Astyanax mexicanus: one gene and its partners. The protein of the gene in region 4 purifies or fractionates together with the protein of the main gene of each other region. This does not show direct contact. Links are inferred from orthologs where the notes say so. Each region holds a gene or a part of one and is shown on either strand. Other genes may lie near its edges.

What was found.
Region 1: the proteins of tnip2 (region 4) and tank purify together in Homo sapiens (affinity purification with mass spectrometry; 3 studies listed by BioGRID and IntAct, with this or other methods). This does not show direct contact. The link is inferred for Astyanax mexicanus from reciprocal best matches to the Homo sapiens genes TNIP2 and TANK.
Region 2: the proteins of tnip2 (region 4) and tnfaip3 purify together in Homo sapiens (affinity purification with western blotting; 5 studies listed by BioGRID and IntAct, with this or other methods). This does not show direct contact. The link is inferred for Astyanax mexicanus from reciprocal best matches to the Homo sapiens genes TNIP2 and TNFAIP3.
Region 3: the proteins of tnip2 (region 4) and map3k8 purify together in Homo sapiens (affinity purification with mass spectrometry; 3 studies listed by BioGRID and IntAct, with this or other methods). This does not show direct contact. The link is inferred for Astyanax mexicanus from reciprocal best matches to the Homo sapiens genes TNIP2 and MAP3K8.

Annotation. Positions count from the first base shown.
Region 1 is NC_064418.1:34,055,190-34,063,256, reverse strand, and holds the start of tank (TRAF family member-associated NF-kappa-B activator), read right to left. Parts: upstream 3,596-8,067; 5' UTR 3,409-3,595; intron 764-3,408; 5' UTR 727-763; coding exon 613-726; intron 486-612; coding exon 374-485; intron 1-373.
Region 2 is NC_064414.1:16,579,170-16,587,110, reverse strand, and holds the start of tnfaip3 (tumor necrosis factor alpha-induced protein 3), read right to left. Parts: upstream 3,638-7,941; 5' UTR 3,503-3,637; intron 2,513-3,502; 5' UTR 2,476-2,512; coding exon 2,169-2,475; intron 1-2,168. UniProt on the Homo sapiens protein: Ubiquitin-editing enzyme that contains both ubiquitin ligase and deubiquitinase activities.
Region 3 is NC_064422.1:35,267,056-35,275,465, forward strand, and holds the start of map3k8 (mitogen-activated protein kinase kinase kinase 8), read right to left. Parts: upstream 3,369-8,410; 5' UTR 3,264-3,368; intron 1,796-3,263; 5' UTR 1,770-1,795; coding exon 1,449-1,769; intron 746-1,448; coding exon 575-745; intron 1-574. Other genes in the region: poly(A) RNA polymerase, mitochondrial, read left to right, coding at 4,556-4,718, 5,382-5,548, 5,687-5,920, 7,145-7,369.
Region 4 is NC_064414.1:51,113,683-51,122,487, reverse strand, and holds the start of tnip2 (TNFAIP3-interacting protein 2), read left to right. Parts: upstream 1-5,445; 5' UTR 5,446-5,592; coding exon 5,593-6,237; intron 6,238-8,805. UniProt on the Homo sapiens protein: Inhibits NF-kappa-B activation by blocking the interaction of RIPK1 with its downstream effector NEMO/IKBKG.

The DNA of each region.
Region 1 (8,067 bases), on a different chromosome or scaffold from region 4:
TGCATTTTATAAATTAAATGCACTTTTTTAAATATATATAATGTATTTAGTCCCCTTTTTAAACTGCAATACGAGTTAAGGAAACATGCAAGTGTACAAACATGCTGATATTTAGCTGTGTGTTCTACTTTTAAGCAAACGTGGTAAATGCAATAAATGCAAAAAGCAATCAAACTAACTGATAATGTGGGACTAATACAAAATAATGGCTTAATTTAACTGGCTATTAAAAAAGTTGGATTAAGCCTAAATCTTAAAAAGCGTGGAAAATGTACTTCATAGTATTGTAATTCACTTATATTTATACAGTTGTTGTTTATATATATATATATATATATATATTTTTTTTTAAACACATCAGTTTCTGACTAACCTGTCCCATGCTTTATTGCTGAACTCAACTGCGCTTTCAGCTCTGAAATCAGCTGCTCTTGGTCTTGTATCTTCCTCTCCAGTTGTTGAGTATACACTTCAAACTCCACCTTCTATAACAACACACACAACAGAGGTCCTGATTTTCAGAGGTCCTGGTTTTAAAGCTGACTACACAATGTACAATACACAACGACTAAAAAAAAGGAGAAACAATGCATATTGTAGTTTGTACTGAACCTTCTGCTGCAGTTCCTTTTTGGCATTGTCTTTCTCAATCGAGGCATTGCGATATGCTTCATAGGCCTTGTTCAGCTTATCACTAATGTTTGGGTCCATGCCTTTTCGATCCATGCCTTCAGTAACATCACGGATGGAGCTGTCATGAGTCCTGAGGCCATAAAAAACACACATTAACAAACATGATAAACAGTAAATGGCACATGAAAAAAATAATTTTAATTTTTTTTTTTTTTTATGAGAGCAGAAAGCACTGCAGCTTGTACAGGTTTGTGATCTGTCTAAATCGGAGGTACAGAATGGTAAGTAGTTTGTTTACAAGAAATATGTCACTTCTCTGTCCGGAAGTTGTGTGATTTCTGGTCAGGCATACACTGGGATACTTGTTTTTTTTTTTTGTTGAAAATGGGGTAAACAATTTGGTCCCAAGCTTATTTAATCTGGTAAAAGGTAATTTAACTAGGTACAATAATGCTTAGAATTAACTATTGTTTAAAGCAGAGTACTGATTTGATTAATAAATATAGAAAAATTGTTCTATACCACATAAAACAGATTTTAAATAAGTTTTTAGGGCTAAGTGTAGACCAATTAGTGTAGATCATAGCTCTTGTCAATTGTTATGTATTTTTATTGTTTCTTTTCAGGTTAGAAACTTATCATAGAAACTTAAAGAGTTCTACATAAGTTATGATTTAATGATATCAAGGAACAAGACTAGTGTTTGGGGTTCTAAACTGGCGTAAAAAATACTGCTGTTCATATAACCTATATATGTTTCACTTTGCTTTAAATCAGTACATCAGTTCAAAGTATTTGTTTGAGTTAAATAAACCTTGCTCCCTTTTATTTACTGACAAACCAGTTTTACAGCAGAGCCTGCATGCAAACTGAGAACAAACATCTACTGACCACATTATACAGTTTAAATGTCCAGAAACAAAGGCCGAACAGAAACACTAAGATACTTTATTAAGTGATAAAGCATGTTCATTTTCATACATGTGAACCAGTTACTCTATAAACTTGGTCTAAAGAATTTTACTTAAGGCAACACATTTAGTAGGCTATATCTAGGTATGTTTGATATATATATTTTTTTTAAATAAAAAAAATATATATGTAACAATATAAATGTAGTCTAATTTAGTTTTCTAAGCAGAACATGGCATAACTTGATATGAGGTGTGTGTGAGGTTTGAACTGATGTAAACATTACTTTTGTTAGGTAGTTAAACCTAGTAAACCTATTTAAACTGCTGTTTACACAAAGTCACTTTATTTAGTGGCTTATATATATATATATATATATATATATATATATATATATATATATATATATATATATATATATATATATATATAATTTGAAATGACAAGGCAAACAAAGCAGAAATTTCTACAGACCAGACTACGAAGTGTCTAATTTTAGAAACAAACATCAAACTAACCAGAAAAAAAACAGAAAAATATAGTTTTAATTAATTAATATATCAAATTCACAATTTGTATTACACAACAAAAAACACTGTTCTATTTTTAATTTCTTTAAGTTTAAAAGCAGAAATAAGAAGATGTCACCTTTATATAAATAAGCATTGTTCTATATTTAATTTAGTAGAAAAAGAAAAGGTCACATTTATATGAATAAACCTTTTGAACATGTCATGAGCTAGGTTTCGTTTTTTTTTTATATATATACTAGCTAACCTAGTCAGTTAAGTAGGTGAAACAATTTCATTTTAAATAAACAAATTCTAATTTCAAATAAACCTTTTCTTTTTTATAAATGAATTTAGCTTAAAATACTTATAAAAATTGTGTTCTTTATAGGAACTGAGAAAAGCTATCAACGTAAACGTATTTTAAATATTATTAAACATATTTTATGAAGAGAAGCTTAAGTTTTCTACATTATGAAACTAGATAAGCTAGCAGATTTCAAATAACTCCTATAGGTGTGTGGGCAATTTTTTGAGCCTGTTTTTTAGGTTAGTTAACTAGCTGAAGCTATCTTAGCTAGGATAAAATATGGGAAGTTAGCGCTGGCAGCAGTATGAGAGGACGCAGCTCAGAGCTCCGAGGTGTTCTGTCGAGTTATGCTACCGATCTATAAGTGCTTCCTAAAGGCACTGCGCATGCGCTGATCTACACTTTTTCATTACTTCTCATGTTTTTTTTTAAATAATAAATATGTTTTTCGATTTTTTTGTACAATAAAGACCCTTTACTCATTGTTATTGCACAAAAAGTCAAATTGAAATTAATAATAATAATAATACACAATAATTATTATAGAAAATAACGTTACTTTTTTGCTTGCCATGATACAGTGGTTTATGCTATCTAAATATACTAACGCTACATCTACTGGGACTTCTACTGCCAACATCTCTAATATGCTCCATTATTATGCTTCTTAAGAATTTTACAGTTAAATATACACTAGGGTAGCACGGTTTGACAAGGTAGCACAACTCGACAGAACACCGGGTAATGCAGTTAACGTTAGTTAATGAGGGCGGCTCAGTAAAACTTTCTAAACACTACAGCGAGCGGACGCTCCGTCAGGGAGAAGATAGATAGATAAAGAGTAAACCAGCCCCTCTGCTGCCGACATTAGCTGTTTAACTAGCTCGAAGCTCGAAGACAAACCCGCCACCGACCCTAAACCCCCGTATCAGTATCTCAGCTGCGTTGTTAACAACCGCTGAACACACACAGTTAACCTAGCCTAGTAGCCGCTTAGCCCGGTTAGCCAGAACTATAACTCTCCGCCTGTGAATGGAGTCTTACCTTCTGTCGGAAAGTGGTCAAAAGACCTACATTAATCTAGCGCTCTGACCCCGCCGCGCTCTCCGGCCGCCGCTCTACTCTATAACTTTATTTTCACATTAAGAGAGAAGGGAGGAAATGGAGTGCTTCGCACAAATGGACGTTTGACATGTTTTACAATGAGCTGGGAACTTCCCTCGGGGAATCCCCACTGCCCTGCAGCTTCCGCCTGCCGCCGCGCAGCCAATCAGCGGCGCTGTAGCGCCTCGTGCTGAATGTGTGTGTGTGTGTGTGTGTGTGTGTGTGTGTGTGTGTGTGTGTGTGTGTGTGTGTGTGTGTGTGTGTGTGTGTGTGTGTGTGTGTGTGTGTGTGTGCAGCCTACTTGTCTAACTTCAGCCTGCTGCCTCTTCTGCAAATGTCAGTTAGGCCGCAGACAATATAATACTGAAAATAATACACAGCATGTCCAAATATCTACAGACACCCTTATCAATCAGTGCATTTCCAAAATTAGTCTTTTCTGCATTAAAATAACTATTAAAGAACTGTATGCACTTTACCATCCTTAAGTTTTAAACCTATATATTATACCTCGTTATACCTTCATTTGTTTATACAGGTTCTGTTTTGTACTGGTACTGTCATTACCTCTTTAATCCCCTCATCATACCTAACTGGCACACTCTCACTTTTATATTGCAGCTACAGCTCTGGAAAAAAAAAACTACGGACAACACTTCTTCCAGATTCCAAATAAAAATATTGTCATTTAGAGCATTTATTAGCAGAATATGACAAATGGCTGACATTACAAAAAAGATGCAGAGCTTTCAGTTCATAATTATAAAGATTCAAGAGTTCAGAAGTCAATAAGTCAATAAAGACATCACTTTCACACGTGGATTGTTCACCACATTCCAGACCACAATCCAGACCTTAACCCCCCCACAGAGTCCAAACCCTAACCCCCCCCCCACAGAGTCCAGACCTTAACCAACAGAATCTTTGAGATGTGCTGGAGAAGGCTTTGAACAATGGTCAGACTCTACCATCATAAATGCTGCAATATCTTGGTGAAAAATTAATGCAACACTGGATTGAAATAAATCTTGTAAAATTGCAGAAGCTTATTGAAACAATGCCACAGCGACCTCTTTTTGGCCAAGCTGTAGGAGAAAAAAAACAGCATTTTTTTTTTACATCCCTTCAGCGCAGGATAGGGTATCTTTTAGGTATGATGGTTAAGCTGGTGTGCAAGCATGATCCACCTGATCATGCCAGATATCCAAGCTTGCTTATGCTGGATGACTAGCATGAGCATCACAAAGCTGACCAGCATTACAAAACATGACCAGAAACAAATGCATTCACTACCAATAACTACTCTTTTCAGCATAGAATATTTTTTTGCCTGGATGACCAGCTTTTTAATCACCATCTGATGACCATCTGAAAACAGCTAAATGAAGTAGTGCAAAGCAACATTCTTATGCTAAACACGAATGCTTTAATATATATTGCAACAGTAGCTCAAACCCTTGATTACATTTAAATAAAATGCAGCATTTTTAGGCGTCTGTTTAATTTTGCACACATTAATTCAGCTGCCCTTTTTGTTTTAGGCTCATATGTGGTTCCTAAAGAATGTCCTATTCTTTCTAAGTTAATACTTTTCTATGATAATCATTAAAGCTTTGTGATGCAATGGGTGCATTTTAAGGTACAGTGTAAGAACATTGGTTATCAGTTCAAATCCAAAAATGACACATATTCACAAACAATTGAACTTATAGTGATTTTAGTTAAACAACTTTCACAAATGTGTGTCTGTATACTTTTAGGCACATGCAATTAACTGTCCTTTGATTTTTTTTAATTGCCTTCAAGCAAGAAGTATAGTTTACCTAAAAAATGCTAGGCTATAGGCCTAAAATTCATGTCTGCTGGACCCAAGACCTTTAAGAAGCTTTCAACTCATTTAACTACTACACTTAAATTAAACTGAAGTTAATAAACATATCTAAAGAAAATCAGGTTTAATGCCTGGTACTGTTGTAAGCTGTTATTTCCCCTTTTTAAGTTTGTATGACAGAGCATATATGACAGCAGCATTGACCTTTACTTAGTTCTGTGTCTGCAGCAGGTCTGTACTGCAGTCTGTTGACGCCCACTGCTGAATAGTTGAAGATGAGGTCGCACAAACACATACTCACTCTATAGTCAGACTCACACACAACACTTTCAGGGACTGCAAATATTGTGGTAAGTCTTATCACCACAATAACAGAGCAAGAACAGCAAGAGGTTCAGTATTTTTTTTTTTTTTTGTAATCTTGACTATGGGCTATTATCCGATTTCTGTGCATTTTGGCAACTTATTTTCACTATTTATTATATTTATAAGACTTTAGACAGGAATTATTATTAATTATTTCTCAGTGTAATAACATTGTATTTTCCCTTGTTATTTCCAGTCATGGCAAGCTGCATGACAGGGTGGGCAATTTGAACAGAATTTTAATAATTTAATGAAAACATGGTTAACTTAGGGTTGCAAGCATTTTGAATTTGATCTTCTGTTTCAAAAGATACATTTTGATTTTTCAAAAATTATTAAAATTGTCTTGATGTTTTTTTTTATGACAGGATGGACAGCTTAAGGTTTACCTCAGCTTAATATGGAGACAATTTGATTAATATTAATTTATCATATTGGTTAATGATTAATGATTAATGTTCCATGTTGCTCTGATGGAACGTAATTGCATTACACTGTGTACCTGTACTCAAATGCAATGACAATAAAAGCCTCATGACTTAACTTGAAATTAATATTATTAATTGCTGAACATGCAGCAAGTGCCTTCAGGCTCTTAAAAATAAACAGGTCATGTCATTAAAAAAAAAATTAACTGTTTAACAGAATAATTACAGCGCTGAGAGAAAACATATAAAATGTACAAAAAGTACATTAAAGTGAAGGCTAATATTCCTCTATATTTGTACAAATGTGTTCATTCAGAATTAATTTAGAAAAATATTTTTACACAGTATTTGTGTGGAATATAAACGAATATACTGTGTTGATATATATAACAGCATATTAAATGAATATTAACCTCTATTTTATCTAACAGCAAATAATAGTAAATGTTAAATGGTTAATGTCATGTTAGAATCAATTTCCTTACCACAGTCTCACAGTGGTAAGGAAATACTGCTGCAGGCATGCTGCTAAAACTGTACAGCTTTTGCCATAAGATGGCAGTGTTGCTATTGTTTGTGGTTCGCAGATTGCAGTGGCTGACTGGTTTCATGTTAAGTGTGATTTGTAGAGGCCTGCTTTAATTATCTTCTCACCTCTGTCCTTCTGGATCTAGAGAAGAGCAAATAAACTGAAAATCTGTTTACATTACATTGTTGAGCAAGATTATTGAGCTACAGGAAATTTCTAGTTTGTAAAATTGATAAAAAAAATGTCAACAGGATGTTCAGACATTCAATTTAGCCACTGCCATTGTATAACATGACATGGCAAATTCACGTTTTTGCTTTCTTTACAGCTCATGAATCAACTTATTTTATGCAGACATTCAAGGACGAGATCAATAGATTTTATGGATTTGTCAGTCCATCTGACTGTGCTCTTACCTCTTACAGAGGAAGTAGGAGTGATAGAAGGGTTCACATTCTTAGCATTCCACAGTGTAGGGCTCTCTCAGCATGAAATGTGGCTGGTGAATGTGTGTTTGTGAATGTGTGTGTTCGTATCGCTCTGTCAGTCTGAAAGCATGCATGCATGTCTGTGTGTGCCTGTTTTTTTTTCCTGGAAATTCTTATTCAAGCATAAATAAGAACACAGCTCAGGGATTTACAGTGAGGCACAGGCAAATCAAGCATGGGGGGCTAAGAATGGGGGGATTTAAGCTCACTGGGTTCACATACTGGTTGAAAGGTTCTGCTTCCCCAAGTTGTAAAGCTGGGTGTATGAGTATGTTACATTTAAATGAAATTGTCTTTGTTGTTGGAACAATATGAAAAATGTAAATTATTTAATGTAACCTCAAATAATGTAATATAACTTGCATCATACTACCAGAGTAGCCAATTTGCTATGCATAGAAAGATAAATATCACTGTTCTATATTAATTAAGTAAACATACACAGCTTTGGAAAAAAAATAAGAGACCACTTCATTTTATAAATCAGTTTCTCTAATTTCGCTATGTATAGGTATATGTTTGAGAAAAATGAACATTGTTGTTTTATTCTATAAACTACGGACTACATTTCTCCCAAATTCCAAATAGAAATATTGTCATTTAGAGCATTTATTTGCTGAAAATGATAAATGGCTGAAATGACAAAAAAGATGCAGAGGTTTCAGACCTCAAATGATGCAAAGAAAACATTGTATTCATAAAAATTTGAAGATTTCAGAAATCAATATTTGGTGAAATAACTTTAGTTTTTAATCACAGTTTTCATGCATCTTGGCATATTCTCCTCCACCAGTCTTACACACTGCTTTTGGATAACTTTATGCTACTCCTGGTGCAAAAAATCAAGCAGTTTAGCTTGGTTTGATGGCTTATGATCATCCATCTTCCTCTTGGTTATATTGCAGAGGTTTTCAATTTGGTAAAATCAAAGAAACTCATAATTTTTAAGTGGTCTCT
Region 2 (7,941 bases), about 35 Mb from region 4:
CTGTAACACAACAGGGAGGAATTTCCCCTGTATGTGATTCTCTGATTAAGTGCCGTAAGGCCGCACTTCAACTTTTTTCTTCCCCTGGTCTGCTCTTGAGACAGCAGGGCTGTGCTACAGAGCGGCTGGACTTTCCAAAGGGGAGGAGCCTCGTGCTACAGGAATGTATGTACCTTTTCTAACTTTACCAACAACCAGCAGTTCCAAAGGGCTGCGACGAGGTGTAGACTACCTTGGATTTTAAAAGAAACCCAACCCAAGCATGAAAACAAATATCAAAAAATAAAATGAATAGACTTTAATACATTTCAACACACAAGATCAAGGCTGAGTAAAAAACAGGTCCTATAAATAGCTCTTAAATGTGAGCAAAGCAGAACAGGCCTTTGTTTGAAGGAAAATAGTTTTGGGAGGACTGAGAAATTTTCCACATGACTAGACACATTTTATGAAACGTTACAATATCCATGACACCAAAGTGTCACTCTGTGTAAAAACAGAACTATACCTCCAATAAAACAATGTGTTTTACATTTCACTATCCTAAGCTTTTGACATTTAAAAAAACAGTATTAGCTTTGTATAACTGGATTGACTATGGAAATTTCAAACTTGACAGGAGAGCTTTTGTCAGTAATGTTTATATGTCGTAACTAGGGATCTTAAATGTATCAAATGTAAAATTAATTAAGTATCCTGATGCAGGTCACACATCATAAATTATTTCTTCATGTATGGGGATATTATATGTTATAAATCAATTATAATAACACATTGGCACAACTGGTGAAAAAAATGATATGAAACACAGGGAGGTGATTGTCAGAAATACCCAGCTCCTCACTCACAACCACATCCTTATCAGCATGGATCGCCATTTCAGTTGCAGCTTCAGGACATGGACACAAAATAAAATGAGTCAGCTGCACAGACACTGGAACGGATTGTCCTGCTCTCCCTCACCCCTGTCCCAGTGTCACCTGATACTATGAATTCTAGTAATCAGCAGCCAGTGGTATCCATTCTGAGAAGTCTTTTATTCAAAGCAGCACATTCAGTTCCAACACTTTCACATCCGCAAACGACTTCAAAACACAAAATTCCCAGACTAGATTAATTCAGAGGAAGCTGCACAGAGTCCAAATATCTATATTAGTAACATATGTACAATAAACCATATAAATTAACTGTTTTAGATGCTAGCTACAAGAGGAAAAGTCAGCAAATAAAATGTCTGGATTCAACAGCTCAACTCTGAAACGATTCGAAGTCACCACAATACCACCGTCACCCCAATCTTGGAAACACACTAAGGAAAAAGTTCTAGTCATGACAAAAGGTGATGAACAATACATTTTGGCCGACGTCTCCTTTCAACTTTCTGTAAAACACAAGCTTTCATGACACTTCTGTTCAGGTGGGGCTATTGTAACATAAGTGACTGTAAAGTGAAGCAAAAAGGGCAAGTACACAGATGCTTCCTCTTGTTAAATTACTCATCCTAAGCAAGCAGAATAGCTTGACCTCAAGTTAACAGTAGAAATGTTTAACTCTCTTAGAGCTTACAGTTAACAGCGCAATAGTGGGGCCACTTAAAATCAAATCACACCAAAAAGGGGTGCTACAGGATTTTCCCTCTATGTCTAAAATGCCTGTGCATCAGGCATTTAAAACAAACACAATATACATCCACAACTGACTATTTGATCTTGTCATAATTCATACACAAACCTTTAGCAAGTCTATCTTATACTGAACAGAGTTCACCACAGACAAATTTGTATGTGCAGTGGGCCAGTTAGGCCTAGAGGGCCTTAAATGGGCACAATTCGTTAATGAAGCAAAAAGGGAACTGTGAATAGCCAACAGGATCTGCACTACATGAGAAAACTTTTATGTTAATGCTATACATGATTACAAACAAATCCTTATTAGATGATGGCTAACTAAAAAACTTTGTATTCAGCTGTAAGCTTGCTCTACAGACATACCCTGTGTTAAAGGCAAACCAGTTTACCACTCTAAAGCCAAGTATATCCATAATTTTCAGTCTGCAGGACTCTCCAATCTGATTTGTACAAAATCCCCACAAAAAAGCAGCTACCAAAAGAGATGCTCAGGCTGGCCAAATCTCATTTCTATGTGACAACCTAAAAGCAAGACTTTACCGTTCGTCCGGAGCGGCACCAGCTTCTTGACCTCTCGGCACCAGTTGAGCCTCTTCTCCTGCTCCAGGGAGATCTGCATGGCCCGGTCCAAGATGGCTGCCTGGATGACTTCGCAGAAGGCCTGCGGGAACTGGCTCATGCGGATCATCTCCAGAGTGTAGCGGTGCATGCCCCGCAGGTGATGGAGCAGGCCGCCGCTGGAGGAGGGCTTCACGACATCGTTGGGGACACGTTCGCGTATCTTTACAGCCTTTAGAAGGTTGCTGACAAACAGGAACTTGGGCAGGAAGTTCTGGCCCTGGGACATTGTGTTCTTGGGAGAGGAGCGGGACACCAAATTATTTCTGTTGGGGGGAAAAGAACAGCAATAATGACATTACTCAACATGTACAATACTCAACCAATTACTCAACCAATACACTCTGACAATGTAGGCTGGAGTAAATATGTGGGTTAGATATAACAGGTGGGCCCATGGAGCCACCTGACGTTGGACACTACCAAACCCTTATTGTGAAACACTTCCTCGAGGTCATGATGACAGAGATGGACAAAGGGTAATTTTTGGTCTATTACACTACAGTCTGCGGACGGCAGACACACACACACACACGATTCTCATCTTCTGTCAGTGAAAGTGCCTGAGGATGCTAAGCTAACCTACAAGGGCATCATTTAGGCTCTCCTGCGCTCAGTCACAGGCTGAGGTTGTCTGAGGACAACTTATACAAATACCCTGCCTCTCTCACACACACACACACAACTCATGCCCACCGTCTCTGCCCGCAGTAAAACGCTGCTCAGAGGAGAATGGCTGAGCGGACCGGGGGTGAGGCGGCGGCGGGGTGTTTTGCTCGGCTGCAGCACAACAATAGGAGCCGCTGCGTCTCGCCGCTCCGCTCGGGGTAAAGCAGCGGCGACGGCGAGCTGGCGCTCCAATTACGTAATTCTGTCCCTTACAGACAATAAACCCCCGCCACACACACTCCACAACCCGCCACACACACTCCACTACCCGCCACACACACTCCACAACCCGCCACACACACTCCACTACCCGCCACACACACTCCACTACCTGCCACACACTCCTCATTCACACTGGCGAGGCCGACAGCGGGCCGCCGCTGCGCGGAGTGTTTAATAAGCGGCTGTGAGGAGCGTCTTCACAAACAATGGCTGTCAGACCCGGGCATTCAGAATCACACCGTCCATCCGCTCTCACTCACACACCGAGTCACCGCGGCCCGCTCCGAACCGACTCCGTCTCATTTGGCTCAGTGTGGAGTCAACACGGATAATCGCGGGGCGGACCGGGGCCGCGCGCCTCTTACCTGCTCAATATGTCGGTATCCAGCAGCGGAAGCCCGAGAGAAAGAGCTGCGACTCCGCGCCTCCTCGGTCCCCCAGTCCGGAGCGCTAAACCCCGCTAACCGCGCTGCTGCTGCTCCATGGCGCTTCACACCGCGGGCTGATCCGCACCACCAGCCTCCTCACAATAACACGCTCTCTCTCACACAGCGGAGCGGAGCGGGGCTTAACCAGCCGAAAAGCCTTCGAGTTGATGTCAACAAGGAAAAGCCAGCGGGGATTTCCAAGGAGGTACTTTCCACTTTCACAACCGCGCGCAGCCAATTACCTCCCCAGGCCCGCGCGGACGCTCGCGGAGCGCGCTGACGTCGCCCTCGAAACGGTGACGCAGTTACGCTGCTAATGTTTGCCACACCCATCGGCGGAGGTCTGGCCGGGAGTATCTGTCTGCCCGCTGTCGGGCCTTTAAATCTTTCTATTGTCTTAAAAAGCTCCAGCCTTTACCACCCATGAACCCACCAGCCCCGCTGCCTGCGCCCCTCCGAGCCTCCCCCGCAGCGGCGCAGGGCTGCTGTTAGCCGCGGAGCGCGCCTGTTTCAGGCCTTTCAGCGGGTTAGTGCTGTCTGAGACTGAGGCCCGGCCAGCAGAGGGCGCTCAGACCCGCAGCCAGAGCACCCTCACCACCCTCACTAGATAACACCTCAATACCACCACCAACTACAATTCAGTTACGTCTATATAACTGAGTTAAACAGCTTTAGGTTTATTCTGGGTCAAAAAAGGAAAATACCTACACCACATGAACAACATATTGGGACAGCTGCTCATTATTTTTCTTCCAAAATTAGGGATATTAAAAAGGGTTTGTCCCCACTTTATACTAGACTATAAAGCATTGCTGTGAGGATTTGATGCACTCAGCACCAAAAGCATCAATATATTGGAAGAACCCTCATACGTCTAACCCATGCCTGGCATCACGTTCAGGCTTACATTTATCTGCTCCAAAAAGATTCTATTATCAGTTCTTCTCTACATGGACTAAGCAGAAACCAAGTAATAGTGGCAAAATGTAGTTAATGATAAAAACACGTCTCTAAAAATATAAAAACATAGAATTTAGTAATTTTGCTTTTTACTCATTTTTACCCTACTGAGACAAACTTATTTGCATATCACTCTGACCTGAGCTAAGAGGCTTTTGGCATTGTTTTGGTAAATGGATAGTAATATATTGTGTAACATTTTTAGCTCTTTTAGATCCTATCATCTTATAAATCTTATGTGTAACTGGGAAAATAGCGTCTGTATTGTTTACAACACTGTCTGATGTTGTTGAAGTAAGCAGGACCCAAAAAACTATGTAATGTTATGTAACCTGAGAATCTTGTACTATTACTTTGCTGTGTCAGCTCACATGATTGTTTCTCTTTCAGTGTTAAGTCCCAAAATGCATGTATAAAGTGTGTTGCTGGGTGGTGGCTTAAAGTACAAATGCCACAACTGTACGGGGAGCCCAGAAGCAAGAAATACCAGTTTAACTGCAGCCATTCTCTCGTTCATATGCCAACTGTACAGATAGCAGTACTGTAAAAAACTGATGACAATCTTTTAAGTGTTGCAGTACAGGGTGTCTTCTCAAAAAAGTATATTTGTATTCTAAAATTTGAAAGAATAAAACAAAATAAGTGGGTGACCAACAAATCCATGTGTGGAGCCACCGTGTCCAGCACCAGGATCAACTGTTTGTTGTAAGGCATCACACATTCATAAGGCCTGGTGTCACGGGATGGATTATTTGAGACCTCTGTATCTGTACCTCAATGAATAGGACCATGTCATTCTAAATTACTAACCTTTTTTGGTATTGGTAACTTTTATCTTCCTTCTGAATAACTTTACAATCCCACACTTTCTTCTGGGTGCAAAAGTGTATTTACCAATTTTGCTCAGCCTACAGCAGGAAAGCTCCGCCCATACTCACATTTATGTTTTAGAAATATTTCAGTTCAAACAGCTTTTTGATTGAGGCACGGTAAGAGACGGGCACTTTGAACAGTATTAGGATGACATCTAAAACACAAATTTTAACGTATCCTTTTTGTTTAAAATTGTCGTAAAAATAAATGACGCACATTTAGAAATGGACCTTAAGGAAAGTATTTGTAATATAGCAGTTATTATATTATAACTATCTAGTAATCTAGTAAGTAATTCTTTTACTTAATGATGATATAGCTGATATAGCTTACAAAGATCATCTGCAGCATCATCTACCCACACCTTTAATAGGTGTGTATACTGTATATATTAATGAAGGATTGCAAGGAAATGAACTAAAATGTATAGATGAATAAATGTAGCTCTAGTTCTATTTTGAGCCATGTATAGTAAAGTAATGTGTTCATCTAGTGTAGTTATGCTTTTATTGTGGTTTAGGAAGCATTGTATTTACATTGTTTCTAGTAAAATTATATGTTGAAGTAGTCTAAACTATAATAACCATCTAATTTAAATGATATTTGCTTAAATAATTTGCATGTTGCATAGGTATAGGAGTTTCCATTAGTCTATAATAGAAGTATTGTGTTAAACTAGTGTAGTTTGATTATATAGTGGTATGGATATAATAGTTTGATATACACATAAACGTATAATTCCAGTTATTTATCATTGTGTAGTTAAAAGTACACTACATTCACTGTCCATCTTATCAGCTTCTCTGATCATATATAATTGTATAATTACAGACTGTAGTCCTGTATTCATGTCTCTGTACACTGTATTATTATTCTTCTTTCACCCTGTTCTTCAGTGTTGCTGTACAGTTTGTGTTTGTGATCCTCTAGTCCTCCATCAGGACACTATTGGTTGGATATTTCTGGTTGGTGGAATATTCTCAGTCTAGCAGTGACATGGAGGTGTTTAAAAACTCCAGCAGCACTACTGTATCTGATCCATTCGTACCAACACAACACACACTAACACCTCATAGATCACCACCATACTGATCAGTGTCAATGTAGCCGCTCTATGGTGGTCTATTCTGTAGGGTCTCGAGCATTAAAGAACAGAGTGAAATAAGGAATGTACCGGTAATTATAAATTATAAATTGTAAGTATAAAACATTTTAGTTGAAAACCTGCATTCATGCCGGCCTGTTGCAGATAAGGATTGACACAAGTACTGCACAAAATCCAAACAAACACGACTATACTGTTTATTTACTGTACGCTGGTCAGTGTTCTGAAATTTCAGACATCGTCCATGATATGATCAATAAAGCATGCTGTGACATATTTGATCATAACATTAAAATATTGTCACATTTTCCACATATAATAATCACCTGCTCATACCAGTGCTTTACCAGAACATGTACTGTACTATCTTCCCTCATTCAGGCTTGTGCTATACCCACGAATAGGTATTAAGACTGTCACACAAACACATTTGGTTGAATCATCATGTTTTCAGTAAATGAACAGACAGGTTTATACTGTTCTCAGTATTTTCTGGCTAAGATTCAGAAATATCAGCTCTTGTACTATGAATTAATTATTCTAAATTGTCACACAACCTGTTTCAATTTGTCTGTTTTTCTTTGTAAAGAATTTGTTCAGTAATCCCAATATACGTACCCAGTTTCAGTCTGCTCACACACAGTGCAGGGACATCTACGAAGCCTTCACTGTGTCCATGCCTGCAGCCTATTCCTTTTTTAAGTTGCTTCTTCTAATACTTTGTTCAGATTTTTACTGCCGTATGGCCTTGTATAATGTGCCACACGCTGCTTAGAGTGGATGTGAACATACATATGATTCACATCAATCAACCGTCCACTTTTTTTCTCACTCAGTTTAGTCAAGGGGAACTTCCCCGGGGTTATTCTCAGACAGAGATGAAAAGAAAGAAAAAAAACTTTATGAAGTGCAGAAAAGTTTTTCCACAGCCTGGCCTACTCTGCGCTGCTGTACATTCTGTTTATAACCAGGTCTAAAATAAAGATCAACCAGTTTCACACTGATACATCTGGTGTGTCTATAATAATTAATAATAATTCTATAATAACACAAGTTACTGTTTTATGATAGGCACAGAGATTATTAAGCTTATTTGTGTACATTCTGTCCAGGCCAGTGTTCAGTAGATGTATTTATTATATGGTTCACATGACTTTGATCATTATAAATGCTGTGACTCAGAACTATGCAGTGCCGGGGGCTTCCAGTTGGGAAACACTGGCCTAATAAAACTGTTTCATACTAGTTAAAAAATCACCTGCTTCTATGGCGGCCGCAAACGTGAACTCAGACACCATCTAGTGGACATTTTTACAAGCTCAAGAGAATGGGTAAGAAGTGCAATGCAGTAACTTACAGCACTGAGTTTATACCTGACTGATGAAAAAGATGAGGACTAGCAGTCCTGAGGAGGCTGAGGGTGTCCTACACTGGTTCT
Region 3 (8,410 bases), on a different chromosome or scaffold from region 4:
TTGGGAGTGACGTGGAGAGAGAGTGCAACCTACCCACCCACCCACGCACCCAGACAGAGAGCATGACCACTTGTGCTCTCTCGGACTCTCGCTGCTGATGCCAAGCAGCATGATACGGAATTAGAAGCTTGGCTATTTTTATCCCATTGTTATAATTTATATGCAAAAACTCAGACAGTTTGCGTTGCTTTGCACATAGTTGCACACAGTGCTTAGTAATTCTTAGAATGTGATAAGTCACAGAATATAAGGGGTTAATAAGGAGTTTTGAATGTTTTCTTCAAATTCCAATGCATTATTTCTATCAGTGCACTCACTGTGCACTCCTTTTGTTGTCTGTAGCATATTTACACCCATGTCAGAACTTTTATAAGCAAAAACGAAAGAACATGCACTTATTCTCAGTCATGTTCTTGTCTAATCCGTCATAACTCTGCAAACTGCCTGTAGCCAAACAGGATGCACTGTAATAGGCTGATGGGAAAGGGAGTCATTTGTTTGACTGGAACAAACACACACTGCATGAGTGGGAAACCGAAGAGATTTGGCCAGATTCTCACATTCCTGGACTCACCCGCTTGCATGCCATTCGCTTGCGCGTTTCGATATCCTGTGCCAGGTGTACTTTCCCAAAAGAGCCTTTAGGAATGTGGCCAGAGCCCATAGCCTTGTAGGTCAGTCTCCATGGAAAAAGGAGCACGTCCAGGTCGATGCGATAGCGCCCCTCCTTAATGACCATGTCAGCCTGTAGAACGAGCACAACAGGAAGTGCACATGAGACACGGGCCATGAGACAAATCAACTGACTAACACTAATGAAACATGCAGAACCTCGGTCACACTGCTGCCCCAAGACACTGTCTGACCAGAAATACACACTGTGTGCATGACTGAAGAATACGGAGGACAATATAAAATCAGGTGCTATTTTTAAGAGTCTTATTGCATTTTTTGTACCAAAAAAAATACCAGTAACAAGCATGAAAAGTAAAAAAAAAAAAAGGTTTTAAAAAAATGCATGCACTAAATATTAGGCCACTGAAATGATTTAAGCACAATTGCCAAAAAAAACTTCACCCTATATGTTTGAGAAAAGACCAAATAATTTTCAACTGCTCTTTTGTTTGAAAAGCAAGACCAAAAAACATTGAGGGTGTTTAATTCTTGCAAAAAATAGGAATAATTGGAATAAAAACATGTTTTGAATTTGTGCATCTCTAGAACAATCCAATTAAATAAAAAAATCAGCATTTTAAACATGCATAAGTGTATGCCTAGGCCTTCCTTTTTACTGTAAGAAAGGCCAGTAATATAATTTATATTAATGATGCATTATCATCATGCAAAATGCTCAACAACCCCTGCACCATAATTAAGAACATAAACTTTATTCCATATTTTGCTTAAATAAATCCATCGTAACAGCCCAACATCACACACTATCTCACCTTGTTCAGCAGAACTCCAAACTCTTCTCCTAGTTCCTTAAGTGTGGCTACTTGTGTGTTGGAGATCATGTTCACGAAGGCCAGGAGATCAGACACAGTCCCGTACCTGACCTTCCCACCATTCTGCACATGAGAAACCAAGCTGCCCGAACTCTCCTCGTTTTCATCCATCTCGTCCTGCGACAGGCACTCCTCGAACAGCACGCCCGATTCCTCCTCTTCTCTGTTGGAGTAGAGATGTTCCACCGCTTGGAGGATGTCTCCGATGTTCATGTGCGTCAGAAGAAGTTCTATCTCAGCATTTTCATTCTTGAAATCCATTTTGGATTAGTGATCTACTGTGAAGTCTGGAACAGAGAGCTTTAATCAGACTACTTGCCAATAAAGGCCCAAAATGGCCTTAAGCACTTACTAATATATATATATATATATATATATATATATATATATATATATATATATATATATATATATATATATATATATATATATAGTTTAAACATGCAGCCTGACGTTGCTGCTGCTGAGCCTGTTTGGCTGTTTGCTTTGCAAATGAGGGGAGATTTTTTTAAGAGGAAGGGAAGGCTCAGGAAGAACAGCCCCTTCATTTTCAAATCATCAAGCCAGTGAAACAAAACAAGACTTTAAACCAGCAGACATACTGCTGGAGGCCTGCCACCTGAAAAGGCCATATAACTGAAACAAGTTACCGGCTTAGACAATGAAAACAATCATCTGACTCCATAAAACAAAAGACTCCATAATGCACTTCAGCTCTGTTAAAAATTAGAAGGTGTTTTCAGCTCCAGTCTGGGGAACCCACCCCCCCCCCCCTGCCCTTCACAGTTTGAAGCAGTCCCTGCACCGACACATGTGATTCAGTTCATAAGGGACTTGATAAATACACAAAAAATGCAAGTCAGGGATTCCCAGATACCAAAGTAATAAAAAACACTTTACTTTAAAAAATTACTTTGTTAAAGCCCCAATTTACTATATAAGATTTCCATAACATTCCAAAAATATGAGGCACTTTACCTAAATCAAAACCATGTCTAGACAATACAGATGAAACAATTATAGCCCAGCATTTTTTTTTCAGAATTTAACAAAATGCAACCAAATAGAACACAAAATTCCAATTATAATTTAGATAAGGGTGCATTTTTACCATTTCTCAAACTTAGAATGACAAATGATGGATGGTTAAAAACCATTAGCATCAGTAACTACTTTAAAAAATACATATACACATAGGCCTGACACAATATTAATGTTATCTTTGTTTTTGCAGACCTCAAAATTACCCATTGTGTTTGCTTACTAAGGATAATTTTAGATTATTTCATTATTTATTTTTTTTATAAATATTTGTTATTATTGCAAGCCTACACACACACACACACACACACACACACAAAAATAATTTGTCAACATATGCTGTACATATACACAAGTGCACCATGACAAACTACAGACAGCACTTACTGTATACATTGCAGTCTAAGGTACAATACCGACCACCTGTCAAGCTAATATAAAAAAAAGATATATACCTAGTGTATTCTAGAGTAATATTTTAAAGAAATATAGAGTAATATTTTATTATCTGTACTTTCACTTTGCTAAGTAAGTAGCTGGCTATAGGGTTTGTACTATGTACATTACATGAAATGCTCAAGTATTACTGCAGCCAAACCTAATATTATTAATATAATAATATATAAAGCACCTGCAGACTATAGTATTTCAACAAATTAGTTAAGTTATAACATATAACTTATATATATTAGGAAGATAATAGTATGTACTTACCGACATAGAAGTGTGTGTGAGCAGAGCAGTGTATCTGTGTGTGATCCTCTGAGCAGTAGTAAAAGTGACTGAATGTGAGCAGTGCTGCAGATCAGGTTGTTTGTGCTGAGTTTGACTCCGCCTCTCTCTCTCTCTGTCTCTCTCTTGGTCTCTCTCTCTCTCTGCTTTCATCACTCCTTCCTGCGTCAGCTGCGCTTTCGTTTTTCTTTTAGCCTCACTGGGTTTCTATGGCCCATCTCTCCACTTCCTCCATTTCCTTCTATGGAACAGTCAAAGGGTAAAGTTTACCGGTGTTAATACCTTTAGCAGGTTTCTGCACGTCAAATATTGTAGCCACATTTTACGTTATTATAGCTATATATAGCCGCATTCGTTATTATAGCTATATTCTCACAACATAAAAATATATACTTGTATATATATATATATATGTATATACATATATATATATATATATATATATATATGTATATATATATATATATATATATATGTATATACAAGTATATATTTTTATGTTGTGAGAATATAGCTATAATAACGAAGGGCATCTTGGATAAAAAAAACATATATATATATATATATATATATATATATATATATATATATATATATATATATACATATATATAGCTATATTCTCACAACATAAAAATATATACCAATATGTAAATATTTAACTAGTCCAAATAAAATATATATGCACGTCTTACCCGATGGAACTATGGTGTTGTTTTTTATGTAAATATTTGTTTTATTCAATACCAGGACCAAACTACCCTAAATAAAAGTAAATACACTTCACTTATAAGTCGAATAAAACACGACATTTACTTCTATAAAAGTTTTAAAGGGTTAGACGTTAATTTCTGTATAACTTATGTTATTTTTGCAAGTCAGAATTTGGTAAATAACATTTGTGATTAATGTTTTGTCTTTAAGTTTCCTATTTCTTATTTTTTTATACCAATGTTTAGTTGTTGACAACAGTGTACAAAAAATAAATAACTAATACTTAATACCTAAAATGCTAAATAAATATTTTAGATGATATTGAATTTTTTTAATGTGAAAAGGAATCTTAAATAATTTTAAGTAGTCTATTTTCAAATCGTTATTTAATTGTAATTTTTATATTTGAATATATTTTACAGATACTCTTTTTTTTTTAGTATTTTTTTTATTTTTATCTTTTTATATTATGAAACGATAAAGCGATTGTTTGTCCCTTCACAGCTCCCGTATATTCTCCCGTGTGTGAGAAGTGCGCATGCGTCTTGTACAGTGCAGCAATGGCGGCCTGCTTCAGCGTGTGTAGGGCATATGTGCGGGGAGCGGACAGGCTGCTGAGACTCTGTCCGCGCTGTGAGTTGCAGGCTCAGACCGGGCTCTCCAGGCTCCACAGGACCGGCTTTGCGACAGCGGCTCAGGCCGTCAGTAACACCGAGCAGACCGGTATGTTACAGCGCTCCGAGACCCAGTACCATCCCACTGAGGGACAGACACATCTCCCAGCATGAGCTAACTACACAGAGTTAAATAAATTACAGCTGTGTTAATAATGCTTCACTCCATCTCTCACTTCATATGTAGACTGTAGACACTGTTATAAAGTGGTCAGTTTGATTATGTGGTCATTGTCTGTAAAGATGAAAATGACCAAGGAAGCTACTGCTGTAATCAATGGCATCTTCTCCACACACACATTAACCTACCAGCCAGAATTTGGAGACACCTTCTCATTCAACGTTTATGTATTTTTTCCTGCAATGTAAATAAATGCTAAAGTAATCCAGACTATTTTTAAACAAGCAAAGTTTAATGTATTTGCTCTTATATTGGGTGCTGTTAACTTGTGTTTTGAGGCTAGTAACTGTAATGAACTTATTCTGTGCAACAGAAGAATCTTTTAAGCTTTCTTTTCTGGGGCACTCCTGATGAGTGCCAGTTTCATCATAATGTCAATTTTTTATGGTCTTTGCGACTGCACTTGAGAATACTTTCAAAGTTCCTGATTAAATGACCTTTATTTCTTAATCTAACATCTTGTCATACTGCAACATTTAAATCCCCATTAATTCATTTTTGATTATTTTACATTTTGTTTGTCATATTTAGCTGTATCAGATGCTAAGGAATCATTTTCCTTGATCCAAGAGAAAAGACATGATCAAGCTGAGAGGTCTGTCCTGATCAACTGTCCCCCAAATACCAACAAGAAGAAGTTTTTAGCTTATATATCTAAACATGGAGACATCAGGAACCATTTCTTTTATGAGACCTATGTAAGTATAATGCTGGAGTCTGTTCAAACCTGCAGTATGTTTGTCATTTGTGTGACAAACCATACTTTACTGCTCATTACATAATTATTTACATTATAAAATCCTCATCTTAAGTAACTCATGTCTGTCATCTTCTAGGGAATCTATGCTGTGGTTGAGTTCTCCAGCAGGGACAGTATCTCATCACTAAAGGAAAACTGTACTATACCAAGTCTGCAGCATGAAGCCTCCGTGCCCTTTAAATCTCGTCTGCTCACGTTAAGTTCGACTGCTACGGGCAAGAAGCAAACTGGACCAAACGCGATAAAGTGCCACAATCTGACACCCCCTTCCTTTGATAAGCTAATAAATCAACTATCCAAACAAGAGACTGTAAGTTACCTAATTTACCTTCTAAACTTTTTTTAAACTGTTTGTGATTGAAAGTCTGGAACAAGTTTCATGTGTTTGTTACATTATATATATATTTGGTCTGGCTAGACTCACATTGTAGTTTAGTGAGTGCAGCAAAAATGTGGCTATATGTCCTGTCATCATCAGCTATGTAGGCTGCATGTCCCTGTAATAGACACTGGCTGGGTTTGTAGAGCACTGTCTGGTTTGAAGAGCATTGTCTGTTCAGCAAATTGGTTTACCTGGTGTTGTGCTGGATTCTGCATCCCTGCCAGAATTCGACTCTCATTTCTGTACGTGCATTACATATTATCCTTGATTTTTAGTTTACTCTCCGATATTATAAAGAGGGGTTAATCTACAGCTACTGTAGGCATTTCCGTAAGTAGTATTTTTGTTTCCAGACTGCTGTGTGACATGCTCACAAAGGACAGTCACATTTTGGCACAACACCAATTATTTTTTATTCTTCTGTGTTTTTTTTTTTTTTTTTATATAATTGTTCAGTATAGCCTGCCTCAACTTTGGTCTGAAAGTCTAAACCATAGAAAAAGAATCCTATCATACTGCACACAGACCAAACCATGGTTCTGTTGATCCATTACACTGCTTTTGGTTAGACTATAGTTTAGTTACCATGTTCTGCAGTAGGGCTGAACGATTGATCTTTTTTTTTTATTGAAATCGCGATTTAAATGTGCCTTGAAATTTAAAAATAAAACTGATAACTGCATTTAATCAGAGAACCCTGGGAATATGTTATGTGGAAAGAAGTTCATTTATTTTAAATTTAATTATATTTGATAGATAGGTATGCGAACCACTAATACAGGTTTAGGGTTTAATGGATTAAAAATAATCACAATTTAAATCGCAATATTCTGTGGAAAAATAGCAATTAGATATTTTGCCCCAAATCATGCAGACTTATTCTGCAGCACCTTTCATACCTGCTTTTGTCAGTCAAACTGAAAAGTCTTTAATCCTGAATGAAACTATATTGGTGTGAAAGCATTCCAAAACTCTGATCTAAGACCAGCAGTTATCATTATTCTACTGAAATGACTAGTTAAGGGCTAGTTAATTTTAATAATTGTAATAATGATGATGGTGATAACAAATGAAGCTTGTTTTGTCTCTCAGCTCAAAGTACATTTCTGTCATCAGTTCTGATCACGTTTCTGTCTCTTGGTTTGTCCCCAGGTAGATCAGCAGATGCAGTGTCTGACCGAGGCCTGTCAGCTGACTGAAGAAAACATCAGCCTGCGCTTCTTGGTCTGCTCACTGCTCAGAGACATTGCTGCTGCATATTTCCCAGATTGCATTATCAGGCCTTTTGGGTCCACAGTGAACAGCTTTGGGAAGCTGGGCTGTGATCTGGACATGTTTCTGGACCTGGATGCAGTCAGTGGCCACGACCAGAGCAAGGTTAGTAGCTCAGGGTGACTTTTGGAACAAACCAATAAGACCCGGTCTATTTCAGGCCACAACAAATAAAAAAAATCTAAGAACAGTATAATACACGTATTATAGTGGGGTAAAAAAGGGACTCCAAACAAATGTTTAAAGTTTATTGTTTAGCATATATACAGATAGCCTAGTCTATTACAAAAAATATAGATAAAAAACTAAAACGCTGTCCCTTGCTACACATAAACAAAGACAAAACCCAGTAACCAAACAAAATGGCTGCCAGTTCCTACAACTGGTGTTAATTACTGTACATACATACCTTCATGTATACTAGTGCATCTCAACAAAATTAGAATAACATTGAAGAAACTCTTTATTTAATGAATTCAATTAAAAATTGTGAAACTAATATACTATGTAGATGTATTACACAGAGTTACAGCTAATAAAATAAAACCCCAAAAATCAGTGTCTTGGAAAATTATAATATTATATGTGTGCCAAGTCCTGCTGGAAAATGAAATGTACATCTCTATAAAAGTTGTGATTTTCTGGGGAAAACACCAGGAGATGACATGTCTCTCTAAACCATCACTGATTGTGGAAACTTCACACTAGACCTCGAGCAGTTTGGACTGTGTGTCTCTCCACTCTTCCTCCAGACACTGGTCCCTTGATTTTCAAATGAAATGTAAAATTTACTGATGATCAGTGATGGTTTAGAGAGACATGTCATCTGCTGGTGTTGGTCCACTGTGTTATATCAAGTCTAAAGTCAGTGCAGTGTTTTCCCGGAAAATCTTTCAGCACTTCATGCTTCCCCCTGCTGACAACTTTTATGGAGATGTGGATTTCATTTTCCAGCAGGACACACAGTGAATAAACAAAGGTTAAGCAAAATTGAAGGTCAGAAGTTAGCAGGGTCAAAACATAAGCAGAAAATATTTGATTAACCCAGCAAGAAGACAAGATCTAGTGAGGAAAACTAATGGGGAAGTTAACCATGGAAATTGATTCCGGAGAGTAGACGAGACCCGGACTGGATCTATATATAGG
Region 4 (8,805 bases):
CTACACTGATGGTCGTGGAGGTCTGGAAAGTGAGGTGTGTTCAGGTACATTTCTGGCATTTTTCTGTGTATTTTGATGATGGAAAATACAGGAGCTCCACTGACTGATTAAAACCCTGACAACAATCAATAATCAGAATTTTCTTATTGGTGGTCCCAGCACTCTTACACGTAATTGCGACTTTCACTCCTCAACAACATAGAACAGAATATAGAATAAAATAGCATTGCTGTTTCCTTAAATGAGCTGCTGGTGTATCTTCACAGCGTGAACGAGCAGCTCAGTAGCCTCTAAAAGTGCCACACTGTCAAGATTTGAAAGCGCCAAAGTCAGAGCTCACGTGGCTCTTAAAGAGAAAGACAACTGGCACACTGATTGGTTTATTTTTCACATTATGCCCAAAACCTAATCACACCCATGATTAATTAAGAGAGTTAGTTCATGCCTTTTGTGTGTTTCAAGCTGCACAAGACGTGTTTTTACTAAAATAAAGACAAAGAAAAAGACATATATATCTAAAATAGGGTCTTATATTTACTATTTAGTGATTAATCATCAGGTGTTTAAACACTTGTCCCGAATATTGGATTGGAGATTATTGGATTTTAATCACTTAGAAAACTGAATTATATATGCTAATTAATTATTTCTTCTTAAATCAAGGCGATTTAAAAAGAGTTTATCCTGCTTTTGTTGGAGTAACTGTCTCTCCTGTCCAAGAAAGACTTTCTATTAGATTTTAGGTCAATTGTTATTAGCTCTAGGGAGTCCTATTCTATTTGCAACGCTTTTTAAAGTTATTTAATTATTAATTTGTAACTTTTATTTACTGTAGTTGGGCAAAACATTGCAAAAGTTTCATTGACATTTTTTTATTTATGGCAACACCATGCAGTCAAAGGGTTTAAATATGATCCTTAAAAATTCTATCTATTTTGGAGCCATATTCTATTTTTATGGAATTAAAAAGTCCATGTAATGTGTAAAACTCAAAGAATGTACAGTCTGTTCTGTATAAACAAGTAGTCAGTTTAATCATACCATCAGTTCAGAGACATCTGTTAAGCATTTAGTCTCAGGGCTACAAAAAAAAACTAAGGGAAAATTTGGTATGACTTCAGTTCAGAACCAAAGTCAGTGTTGTCTGATCCTATTATCTCCCTTTATTCTTCCCTTTGATAGTTTCACCTCTGCTGACATCTTTTATGGAGATGCAGATTTCATTTTCCAGCAGGACTTGGCACACTGCCCACACTGCCCAATACCAAGTACCAATTGATCTTATATAATATTATATATATATTTTTTATTTATTTATTTTTTTTATTAGATGGAAGCCATAATCATCAACAATAAAATAAATAAACTCTTAAAATATTTCACTTTGTGTTTAAAACATCTATATAATATGAGTTTCACAATTTTAACTGAATTGTAAAAAATAAAGTAGCCTTTCAATGGTATTCTATTTTTTTATATGCACTAATATGTGTATCTTAAAAAATGTAATATGTAGATTAATACCTGGATTTAGAACAACTATTACAGCTAATCAACAATTAGAATTATAGATAAAGTCTGCAAGAAGGTTTATCCTCAAGAACATTACAGATTTTTTTACAATCTATCTATCTATCTATCTATCTATCTGTCTGTCTGTCTGTCTGTCTGTCTGTCTGTCTGTCTGTCTGTCTGTCTGTCTGTCTGACTTTTATTAAATAAAAATGAATACTGAAAAGGGTTAATAACATACAAATTGAGACATCTATTTTTTTTTTACTTATTTTTCAGACTTTTCCATTTTTAATCTTTAACCAAAATCTGATGTTATAAACTTTTGGAAAAAAAAAAAGATATTTAATTAGACCTCAAATTCAGAGGGGAAGAAATATAAGAAATATTTAATGTGGTAATTCATACATTTTAATGTTTTTTTCATGTTTTGAACCATTCCCATATATTTTAAGATTAAAAACAATTCTCATTCATAAATTGTAGATACATTAATTCAAAGCTATCTACTGAATGTTTCTTATTTGTAAGTTTCGAAACATAAATTTGAATTTATGATTTTTATATTTGAAAATTGTATGTATTTTATGTTTTTTTTTTTTACAGAAATGTTTAATTCAAGTTTCATAAAAATCATAAAAAAGCATTGCAAACATTAAAACATATGAATTACCCCAGTAAATATTCTGTTTAGAATTCAGGTAATTCAAATTTAGAAAATGTAATTCTTAACTTGTCAGATATCAGATTTTAAGCTCCCAAATTAAAAATAAAACCTCTTTATTAAATCAATATTTTCTTCTTTTCTGCACTTTTTCTCTAAAAAAATAAGAGAGCACTTAAAAATTATGAATTTCTTTGGTTTTACCAAATTAAAAAACTCTGGAATATAATCAAGAGGAAGATGGATGATCACAAGCCATCAAACCAAACTGAACTGCTTAAATTTTTGAACCAGGAGTAAAGCAGCATGAAGTTATCCAAAAGTAGTGTGTAAGACTGGTGGAGGAGAACATGATGCCAAGATGCATGAAAACTGTGATTAAAAAACAGGATTATTCCACCAAATATTGATTTCTGAACTCTTAAAACTTTATGAATATGAACTTGTTTGTTTTCTTTGCATTATTTGAGGTCTGAAAGCTCTGCATCTTTTTTGTTATTTCAGCCATTTCTCATTTTCTGCAAATAAATGCTCTAAATGACAATATTTTTATTTGTAATTTGGGAGAAATATTGTCTGTAGTTTATAGAATAAAACAACAATGTTAATTTTACTCAAATATAAACCTATAAATAGCAAAATCAGAGAAACTGATTCAGAAACTGAAGTGCTCTCTTTTTTTCAGAGCTATATATATATATATATATATATATATATATTTTTTTTTGTATTATGTTTCAACTGACTATATTTTACTTCTCAGAATTTATTAAGCTTCCAGATTTACTAGAAGCAGCTAAGCACTGGTTAAAAGAACGAGGTGTACAGGCTTTGTCATGGGTAACAACACCTACTTACCACCCACCAACATACATAACAGATACGTAACACTCATCACCATTCTGCATATTCATGTTCACACTAAAATAGACCCAGTTTCCCAAAACACATGAGTTCAGATTATCATAACTGGCACAGAGAGAGAGAGAGAGAGATGCTGACTCAACCATTTAAAAGTCATCTTTTTACGCTAAGATACTTTCAGGAAATACAGCAGAAGCTGATCAGTGTGATTTCCTATGATGTCATTTTAGTAACAGGGGAGAAAAGTAGAGACTGAGTCAACTGATGAACGTGAGGCGGTCAGGTTATATCTGGTTGGCTAGGCCCTACACTGACAAAAATGATGCGTAAAATTTACTTAAAAAAAGTTTTGCAACTTTCTGCAAATTTACTTTATTTAAGTACTCAGTTTTAAGACTTAAATGTTACATAGAGTAAATAAGTGAACTGAACTTATGAATTATGAATGAGCAGGTGCCCCAATACTCCCGTCTGTGGAAGCAACAGTGGTTCTTCTATTGCATCGTTTTTTTTTTAAAGCGCTTACGCAATCATTGTTTTCGAGCTAAAGGAACAAACCCACTCATTTTGGTTCATAACGGAGCAAAATATGTTCCTTCGAGAACTTTCAATTGTCTCGAAGAACACTGTCATAAAAGTGTTGTAAACAAAATGCCCCTAAAAACCACAGGCCGAGGCTTTAAACTGCTGCATTTTTCCTCTTTTCCACGGATCAACATGCTGTTTTGGTGTTGAGGGGGGTTTCGAGGGGTTTCAATAGTTAAAGCGATGGTTTCATTTTAACATGCTTTACATTAACGTACCAAAAGAATTGCTATTGGTGTGTCCCATGACTTTTGGCATGACCCCTGGAAGCTACAAAACTCAGCACTGACATGTGGTGGGATATGTGGGCAGGGTCTCCCGCATTAAATATGGATGAGATTTCTGCCAGAGTCACTTCTCTGTTAGTCGTTTTCTGTGGAAATACACATTATATGGTCAGTTTACTGTACATAGTGCTATCCCATGACTTTTGGCATGTCAGTGTATTTCAAATATTTTGTAGAAATTTAATCCAAAAGGTTGTGATGTTAACATTAATTTTTTAAGGGGTGGACAGTGAATTCGCATTTAAATAGCTTGATTATTTTATGAAAAAAGAGCTAAATTAATCATTTAAAAGCCTTTTAATAGTAAAAAAATAAAATATTCAAAACGTTAAGAAAATACCATTTAAAACATGGTTTTAATGGCTATATATTAAAAGAGTAAGTAACTAAGTAAACTAAGTACAAATACTTTGTTACCTTATTTAAGTGCAAATGTTGGTTATCTATACTTTACTGGAGTATTTTTTTTTTTTTTTCACATTTTCACACATTTATCTGAACTTTCTACTCCTTACATTTAAAACAAACAAAAAAAGCCTCTTTATTCTCCTATTTCATTTCAGCTCGATTTTATTCCGGCTTCTCCTCGTTCAATAAAACCTCTATCCAGATAAATCTCTCCATCCAGATAGAGTGAATCTGATTGTGATTGGATGTAGAGAAGTATAAACATATACCATTCCGACTCTCTATTGGTTTATACTGTGATCCATCAGACCTGCATCACAACCCCCCCCCCCACACACACACACACACACACTCCAGCAAGAACATAGCAGACGTATGTAGTCTAGTATGAAGATGATCCATGCAGAGTCTCAAGAGAACTCCAGTTTTACAAACTCCAGTCCAACTAAGCCTTTTTAATATATTTACATTCTACTAAAATACATACAATGGCCATATACTAGTGCATGTCATCTGCTGGTGTTGATCCACTGTGTTTTATTATCAAGTCTAAAGTCAGTGCAGTTTTGTTTTCCCGTAAAATCTAACAGCACTTCATGCTTCACTCTGCTACTGACAACTTTTATGGAGATGCAGATTTCATTTTCCAGCAGGATTTATTATATAATATTCAAATTTTCTGCAGCTGAAACACTAGGGAGCCTAGTGCATCCCAAATTGATCAACATTAACATTTTAATAGAACATTATAGTAATTATGTCTTTTAGAAAAATCCATAAGAATTTTTGGGGGCATTTGTTCTTAATGGCTTTATTTTTGCCCTTGTTTCACATTATTTTTTTTTTACTTCAAATATGTTTGAAAGCAGTACTTTTACACTACTTTTACTTAAAAGTTAATACTTCTACAAAATAAAAAAAGTCTTTTTTTTTTTACATCCGTAGTATATATACCTCTATATAGCCTAAAGAGTAATGAATATAGAATACTTTTCACACCTTTAACTGATTAACTGAGTGACTAACTCAGTGAATAAGAAGAGGAAGAGAGTTGAGGGTTGGGGTGGTGTGGTGGGGGGTGGTGTTGTATATGTGTGTGTGTGTGTGTTCGCGCATGCGCACTGCTCAGCTCGGCTTTCGCTCTTTCTCGGTTTCAGAACGTCTGGATACAAAGTAACTGAGAAAACCCGCCTGAAAAGAGTGAGGAACAGCTGAAGAACAGCTGAGGAACAGCTGAACAGCCCGGGACTGTTCCCTGGAGGGGTTAGATGAATGTTTGGGAGTGCCAAAAAATATAGAACACATAAAAAAAAACAAAAAAAAAAAACACAGAGCAGCGCGAGATGGGCACGGGGAAGTCCCGCAGGAAATCCCCGCGTGGCGCACATCATTTCCTCCAAACTGACAGCTCTGACCTTCTGTCTCACAGACCTGCCTGTCTGCCTGACTGAGAGCGAGCGAGAGAGAGACCTCCGGCTCGAGCGCACCGCGCGCAAAGACCCCCAGAGCGAGGGGCACCTTCTCTTCCACCAGACCCTCAAACTCCAGGACCCTCCAGACCTATACACACACCACACACACATACACACACACACAACCATGGATCTCCACACCAAGAAGCAGGAGGATCACCCCAAACTGCGCAGCTGCTCCACCATCAACACCTTCTACCACGAGACCCAGCAGGAACTGGCCAGACTGGGCCAGACCATCCTCTCCAAAGACGGGCAGATCGCCGAGCTGAAGGCCAGGCTGGCCCGGCACGAGAGGACCACCGTGGGCCCCGTGGAGGGGGAGGACCTGGTGGGACCCTCCAGATCTCTGGTGGGCAGCCTGTGTAAAGAAATCCACAAATTAAAGCAGAAGCTGAAGGACCAGGAGCTGGACGCAGCGCAGAATCTGGATTCCAGCAAACGAGTGAGTTCAGTCTGCTGATCTGCTGATCTGTGGACAGTTTTTTTTACTGGATTATAGATTTAGTGGTGATATAATATAATGGGTTATAATGGGTTGTAAAGTTGTAAAAACTTTTTTAAATATATATTTATATATATTTTATATTTTATATATATATAATAATAGATTATTCTTGTTATGACATAATAAGAACAGTGAAGATAACAGTAGAGATGGGCAATATGGCAGAAAAGTATCAGGTATCACGATAATGTTTCACAATTCAGTTAAATTGTATTGTGTGTGTGTATATATATATATATATATATATATATATACATATTATAAAAGTGCAAAGGACTCTGGACACAGCGCAGAAACTGGATTCCAGTAAAAGAGTGAGTCCGGTCTGCTGATCTGTGGACAGTTTCTACTGGATTATAGATTTAGTGGTAATATAATATAATGGGTTAAAAGTTGTAAAAAAATGTTAATATATATTTATATATTTTTTATATATTTGTATATATAATAATAGACTATTCTTGTTATGACATATTAAGAACAGTGTAGAGAACAGTAGAGATGGGCAATATGGCAGAAAAGTATCAAGTATCACGATAATGTATCACAATTCAGTTAAATTGTATATATATATATATATATATATATATATATATATATATATATATATATAATAAAAGTGCGAAGGACTCTAGACGTAGCACAGAAACTGGATTCCAGCAAAAGAGTGCTGATCTGTGGACAGTTTCTTCTGGATTATAGATGTACTGGCGAATTAATTTTTACAGAAAATAGGCTTTTATATATATATATAAGTTATATATATATATATAAGTTAACAAAAAATGTACTTTTGTACACACAAAGAAAATAGCCTTTTATAATAGATTATTCCTGTTATAACATAATAAAAATGGTCTAAAACAAAAGTTGTATTGTGTAGTGTAAGTAGGGATGGGCAATATGGCAGAAAAGTATCAAGTATCGCTTCAACAATAGTACACACGATAATGTATCACGATTCAGGTTAATTTTATTTTACGAAATTTTATGATGAATAATTAATAATTACAATTAATATAAAATAAACATGTGAAAATGAAAAAATGCTGATCACGATGAGTAAATTGGTAAATTAAAGCAGAAGCTGAAAGACGTAGAGCTGGATTATAGATTTAGCGGTGATATAATAGGATAAAAGTTGTAAAATCACACAGATTTTACATCTGTGTGTGTGTGTGTTTGTGTGTGTGTGTGAATCAAAGTGTAATCACAATGAGTAAATTGGTAAAAAGATGGAAACAATGCAAGTCCAGTCTGCTGATCTGTAAATAACATTATAGATTAAGTGGTGATATAATGGGTTATACGTTGCAAAACTAAACAGAAGTTACAGAAAATTGCCTTTTATAATAGATTATTCTTGTTTTTTACATTACATTACATTTGGCAGACGCTTTTGTCCAAAGCGACTTACAATAGTCAAGTACAATGTAAAATAAGTTTAAAGGTAAAAACAACTTTGGATAGGGATAAAAGGAGGTCAAAGGGGAATAATAGGATAGAGAAGTGAAGGAGGGGAAGAAGGAAATGGGGTTAGAAGTAGTTAGTGTTTTAGAGGTGTTAAGAGAGTAAGTGCTCTTTGAAGAGCTCTGTCTTCAGGAGTCTCTTAAAGATAGCGAGAGATTCTCCTGATCTGGTAGTAGAAGGTAGTTAGTTAGAGGTGTTAGGAGAGTTAGTGCTCTTTGAAGAGCTCTGTCTTCAGGAGTTTATTAAAGATAGTGAGAGATTCTCCTGATCTGGTAGTGGAAGGTAGTTAGTTAGAGGTGTTAGGAGAGTAAGTGCTCTTTGAAGAGCTCTGTCTTCAGGAGTTTCTTAAAGATAGTGAGAGATTCTCCTGATCTGGTAGTAGAAGGTAGTTTGTTCCACCATTGGGGAACTCTGTATGAGAACAGTCTGGATTGCTTTGTGTGAATGTTTGTTTGGCAAAGCGAGGCGACGTTCATTGGAGGAGCGCAGCGGCCGGGAGGTAGCGTAAGCCTTCAGGAGCGAGTGCAGGTAGGAAGGAGCCTGTTCTGACATCACCTTGTAGGCGATTGTTTTAACATAGTAAGAACAGTTTAGAACAAAAATCTGAGAAAAAACGTTTAAAAGCTTCATAAAAGGTTTAATATTTTAAAACTGTATGCATAAGAAGTATAAAGGACTCGGCGCTGGATGCAGCGCAAAAACTGTTTCCAGCCAAAAGTGAGTCCAGTCTGCTGATCTACTGATCTGTTGATTATTTATTCAATATTATTAATATAATGGTGAAATCAAAAGAACTTTACAGAAAAAAGGCTTTTTATAATAAATTATGCTTGTTATAACATAATAAGAACAGTGTAAATAGGGTTAGGCAACATGACAGAAAATGATCAATTATCGCTTTAATAGTACACCCTGAAATATTGGCCAAAAATCTAAAAAAACTAAGAAAAAAAATCAGTTTACAGGAGTTTTTACAGAAAATAAATCCTTAAATACACAAAGAAATCAGTGTATATATTTATTATGGATGATTCT